2 linked regions of the Saccharomyces cerevisiae S288C genome follow. Each later gene encodes a partner of the first gene's protein in a complex. Each region holds a gene or a part of one and is shown on either strand. Other genes may lie near its edges.

Region 1 (2,641 bases):
AAGAGCTTGGGAGCAACAAGCAAGAGAAAGATAATGCGAAAAAAGTAGGAGAGCCTACAACAGAAGAGACAAAAGAATTTGCCGAAGCATCAAACATCAACGAAGGCGAGTTTGAAAGAATTTCCTCGACCGATGAAGAAGTTTTAAAATCTAGGGCAAGAGATCGACTGGCAAAAGTATTAGATGATACTGAAGAGAAAGAGCAATCAAATCCAACCATTGGTCGCGATAGCAAGAAGGCCGTATGATGCTCGCTCCCGTTTTTACCTTTACATAATATAATCTCTAATTTACTTTATTACACAAATGGTAACTCCCTTTAAATAAACTTAAAAAAGAACGTATAGAACTCTCTTCTTCAATGAATAGTAATCCAATTTTTTTTATTAACTATACAACGTTATGACTTTAAAAATTAAAAAATATGTTTATGAGTAGTAAGAAAAACAAAAGGAAACAAAAACAAAAAAAGTTATAAAGCCTATTTCTACTTCCTGTATAACGAACACAAATGGATATTATTCTTTATGCGGATGGGAAAGTATTCTTAGTTTTTTTTGTTCCAGTCTCGTTATGATAACACTCCGATCATTCCTTATTTTTCTTATAATCTGTTAACCTTCAAAGTTGGTGGCAAAGATTGGATCAATTTCTTAGCCTTACCAGCATCGTTGATAACCAAAGTGTACAAAGAAGAAGAGCCTCTAACCTTGAACTTGGTTTGTCTGAATGGCTTACCGGCCTTGTTCAATTTTTTGTTAATCTTAACAGTGGCGGTCTTAACGTCAGCTCTTCTGGTCAATTCCAAAAATTGTTTGATGTCGGTGATTTCTCTAGCCATTTTTCCTTGATATTTTGTCGTACTATATTCAACCTGAAATAAAAAACTAACAGTTGAAATATTTCTACATTGAAATTAGAAAATTTAATTCTTTAGATTGAAGATTCAATATTGTGCAAAAGCGTACAGCAGCAATCACGACTCTACATGCCATAGAGCTTGGAAAACTCTCCATAATTTTCCACTCGAACGTATGATGCTCCGTCTATTTTTTTCAACAGTTGCACGGACGAGTCCTCCTTTTCGCAAGGCATTTTAATTGTGTGGGTTTATGAAAATGCACGGATGCATTTTCTCTAGATGAAAATTCCGTCTTGGAATAATATCGGAATGAGCTAAAAGAACACCAGTACGCGAATATGTGAGATGCCCTGTTTTGTCACATAACAGCGGCAGTTAATTTGGCGTCTTTTCTGGGAAGCGAGTTTATTTGGCAAGGCTATGATGTTTTATAATACTAATCACGCATTGCAACTTCACAAAGTAGTTGTGACATGTGGATGTAATAGCGTTACTTTTCTTTTTGTTTATTGCTATTTGTTTCTATTTTCTTTTTTTAAATCGCGCTAATACGTGGAAAAATGCGTAGAAGCCGGGAATGGGACGTGATTATGAGATCATAACATGACTGCGAGCTAGAGAGCATTGGAAGAATTTGCTTTTTTGTTCAGTTCCCTACTCATATATTTGTTTCATAGAAGTCGTAGTATACGTGAGACAAGAGCACTTGAAAATAAATCTTGGATCTGCTGGGAGCAATATCATCAAGTAAAATAAGGGGGAAACCATATCAAATGTCAGGGTTCATTAAGAGCACGTTGCTTGGTCTAGGCCAAGATTACTTAGAAGATCAATATCAAGAGTTCGCAGAACAGCATTTCCAGCCAACCAGGGATCCGTTTTATGAAACGAATAAAGATGGTAAAAAGCACCGCCGCAGACTGCCATATTATTGCACTAAGGATGAAAGTAAAGCGTGGAAAAAGGTCCAAAACAAAGCCTGGCTGCATGACAAATCACTGTGCGGATGCTGTTGCTGGACAAACACTATAGGATGGGCACCATTACTTGCACTTCTACCGGTTATAGGACCCTTATTGATGTATTGGGTGCATGATAAGTTGATTGAATTGGCAGATGACAGGTATAAATTGCCTGCGGAAATCAAGGTGAAGATGCATGGTAATATCGTTATCGATTTACTTATTAGTTTAGTTCCTATTCTGGGAAGTGTTTTTGCATGGTTGCACGCATGTTCCACGAGAAACGCAGCTATAGTTTACAATTTTGTTGGAAAAAGGGCATTGGAAAGAAAGCAAGCGGAGCTCATGCATCAAAAAGAAGAAAATGAGAAACATTCCAATGCCAATACTGCACCTCCAGTAGTTGGTGGCAACAAAAATGTGAATGGAAACAGAAATAATAGTAAAATGTATAACAGACCGCCTGTGACAGCTCCACCTGCACCAGCATACACGCGCAGTACTAACGGTCGCCCCCAAAGAGGTTACAGGTGAACAAACCGGCCACGGTAAGGCTACATTCTTATCAACAAATATGGGCAATCAAAAACTTATAATGTAAATTTTATTTTTTATCGTAAACATGTATTTAAGAAGTAATATAAAGGATGTTTGACATGATCATTTTATATATGCATACACGTTATTGAAGTTATATGGTCGTTAAATCATTAAAAGGCCCGTTTCTTTGAAATATGCTAACGGAATCAAACCGGTCGGGTCGGTTAGATGTGGTATTGTTGCAAATCAGAAAGCCTTCTTTCATTGTTTTGGGAGT
Region 2 (3,292 bases), on another chromosome or scaffold:
TTTTATCTGTAGGCTTTATCAAGTTCCTGTATGTATGGTTGTGCAAGGCACTCTTCTTCATAAAGGAAAAGATGTGTTGAGATTTGTAAGGCTTTTCATCAGTGTTAGATCTGAGGTGGTGTTCACATTAAATTAATCGACGCAGGATTTGGCGAAAGCTTCTGGCATAATGTTTGGTGTTTGTGGTGTGTGATTTCTTTTTTTGATTTTTTCTTTTGCAGTTGTATTCCCATACATTAAATTGTTCGTGGCACATGAAAAAAAAAAAATAAAATATGAACAGGTCTTTTTTATAGCAGAGTTACGTCGTCTACAGTTGGACAGGCGATTGACTACTAAATTCCCATGGCTATGGATGACGATGATTAATGAAGAAATAGTAGCTCGACAACATTACAAAAAGCATTATTCATAGAGCGCTAGAGCCATGAAAGTTTTCTTGTGATATGAATTATTTTTATTCGTGCTTTATATAAAACAGTTAATTAGGTACATAAGAAAAGTAACATTTTCTTAAAGTTTATTTCTTAGCCTTCTTTTCAGATTTCTTGGCAGCTTCGGTTTGTTCCTTGACAACCTTCTTGACAATTTTTTGTTCTTCGATCAAGAAAGCTCTAATAATTCTTTCCTTAACACAGTTGGCACATCTGGAACCACCGTAAGCTCTGGAAACAGTCTTGTGGGTCTTGGAAACAGTGGCGTATTGTCTTGGTCTCAAAGTAGAGATACCTTGCAAAGCGCTACCACAGTCACCACACTTTGGTCTGGTAGCTAACTTCTTGACATGTTGGGCACGCAAAATACCACCTGGGGTCTTAACAACCTTGATTTTGTTAGAACGGGTGTTGTCTATTTGAAAATGTTTTCAGAAAGTTGGTATACTTTCTCATTTGAAAAATATGTTAGTACGAAATGTTTCAATAGGAAGGAGTTCGAGAAAACTTTAAAAGAAATTTTCGTAACACAGATTGAGATTATTAGCTCTAGTCAGTATCAGGGTTAAAAGTGGCTGCTCTTATTAACTATCGTTTTTCTTCTCATTGCTACTAATATTGTATTATTTCTGGACACAATATTTCGCGCAGAATAAGTTATTGATAGTGGATTACAAAAACGGGGTAAATTGCTTTTGATAACTATACTAGGACCCCTGACATGGTATCCTCTCCTCTCTTGCTCTTTTTTAGTTGAATAATCATCATCTCGTCAGAATTTCTCGTAATTTATAAGTGTGCCTTTAACATACATGGATTTCTTCTTCTGAAAGTAACACGTTGGGCCATCTTTGGTTGTTCTGTTATGCAGTCTACACGTTAATACCGTTTAACACTAAGCGTAATTAATCTATAATATTTCAATTCCTTCTAGATAATATCCTCTGCGCCTAGGCTCACGAAATTACACGGAGGAAGCGTCGACCAGGCGACTCGTTGGTAGGGGACCAAGCGCGAGTAACTACCAGAATCGCCTTGGCTCAGTAGAAAATGACGGCCTAAAGGGAACCTAGCGGGGGAGCGTAGTCGTAAGCGGGAACAGCGAAAGTCAAGCTTCTTTTTTTTTTCACAATATATGGAAAAAAATTTATCACCCATACATACCACTAAATGTGTTATATATTTGAGAACACCTTTACATCCTAATGTTTAATGGAAAAAACAGTCCTCGAAGAGCATCGTATTTGTAGAAGGAACCAAGTAAATTAGTATACAATGTACAATGTACATTCTTCAGATGGGAAGGTGATGAAAGTCATACTTCTATGGGCTTTATATTATAAAGCTAAAAAATACGTAGTAAAATCCTAAGTTCTAAAAGACGCTATTAAGACTTGCCCTTAATCTCTTTCGGCAGCAATGGCTTCCATTTCCATGTCAACGCCTAATGGCAATGCTGCAACAGCAACGCATGATCTGGCAGGTTTGTGAGTATTGAAGTACTTGGCGTAAACGGAGTTAAACTCAGCAAAGTGATTGATATCTGCCAAGAAAATGTTAACTTTTACGACCCTGTCCAATGAGGAATTGCTTGCTTCTAGAACATTCTTAATGTTTTGAATCACCTGTTCAGCCTTATCAGCAATGGAACCTTCAACTAACTTGTTGTCTGGGGTCACTGGAATTTGGCCAGAAAGGAAAATCAAATTGTTCACTTTCATGGCATGGGAGTATGAAGCCGCAGCAGCTGGAGCGGATTCACAAATAACGGGAGTTAGCGTGGTGACCATAATTCTAATGTAATGATGATGTTCGAAGGGTAAATTTTCTTTCGCTTTTTCGTGGAAACCAAATATCAAAGTTGTTCCTTATCATGTATCCGTTTGATAATGAAGTAAATTAGTATTTCTTTTGTAGGTCAGCAGCTCGCGCTATGGAGAAAGGAGTTATAATGAAACCACGTGAGCACGATGAAATAGCAATATGTTACTATTGATTACCGGATTAGAATGGTTAAAATGGTGAAATAAGAAGAATGATTATTGTGTGCTCAGTATCGGTTGAAACCACTAGTTTTGGCGCTTGACTCCACTCGTGAGTCATGTTTGGACTATATATGTGCCTTGAATATATATAAATATATATATTGCTATATGATCCCGCTGTTTCCAAGAGTAGTAATTACTAGACGGCTGTTGGCATATGTCAATGAGAGATTAGTGTACTCTTCGTACCATCAATCCGCCCATAATCTTCTAAGTGATCTTCCGATCGTATCCATCGAACTTTACTAAAGGCTCTTTTCGGGGTTACCCCTAAATTTTCAGTATTTGATTTGTATTAATGTTTAGCATTCAGGTAGTCGTAGTAAACGGACACATTTGACATTCAACGACGGTACACACGGTAGGAGACGTCAATTTCGGCTGAGATGAGTAGGGCTAGCAAGATAACGTTTGCAGCTTCCTGTCTGATAACGGCAGCGACGGTAGTGGGCGTGCATTATGTGCAAGAAATGGAAAGGGAAACTTTGCATCAGGGTCCGATAAAAGATGCTAAACGAGTCGAAGAAAAGAGGTTGAGAAAGACAAACGGAGTTGCATCATTAGATCCCACAAAAGAAAGGAAAAGGTACTTCAATATGAGTGAACACGAGGAACAAAAAGAGTTGCGAAAGAAGTATGAGACCATGCAACCGCTTAGTGGAGAAGTTGTGACCAAAGATGGAGAGGTGGTTAAAGAATCTAAGAAATAAACACCTGTCGGCAGTAGTTTACCTCTCTATTATAGACTACTCTTGTTTGTATATATGTAAGAATCGTGTAATTATTTTCAAGAAGCCTTCAAATTGAAGGAAT

The links. The genes of interacting proteins can lie anywhere in the genome.
Region 2: RPL38 (region 1) and RPL34A share a complex: the UniProt entries of both Saccharomyces cerevisiae proteins name them as parts of the large ribosomal subunit.

Annotation. Positions count from the first base shown.
Region 1 is NC_001144.5:780,539-783,179, forward strand, and holds RPL38 (60S ribosomal protein eL38 RPL38), read right to left. Parts: upstream 842-2,641; coding exon 605-841; downstream 1-604. Other genes in the region: PEX30 (peroxisome biogenesis protein), read left to right, coding at 1-248; YLR326W (uncharacterized protein), read left to right, coding at 1,636-2,358; TMA10 (Tma10p), read right to left, coding at 2,589-2,641. UniProt on the Saccharomyces cerevisiae protein: Component of the ribosome, a large ribonucleoprotein complex responsible for the synthesis of proteins in the cell.
Region 2 is NC_001137.3:268,903-272,194, forward strand, and holds RPL34A (60S ribosomal protein eL34 RPL34A), read right to left. Parts: upstream 1,284-3,292; coding exon 1,247-1,283; intron 850-1,246; coding exon 521-849; downstream 1-520. Other genes in the region: putative isoleucine biosynthesis protein HMF1, read right to left, coding at 1,835-2,224; PET117 (Pet117p), read left to right, coding at 2,866-3,189. UniProt on the Saccharomyces cerevisiae protein: Component of the ribosome, a large ribonucleoprotein complex responsible for the synthesis of proteins in the cell.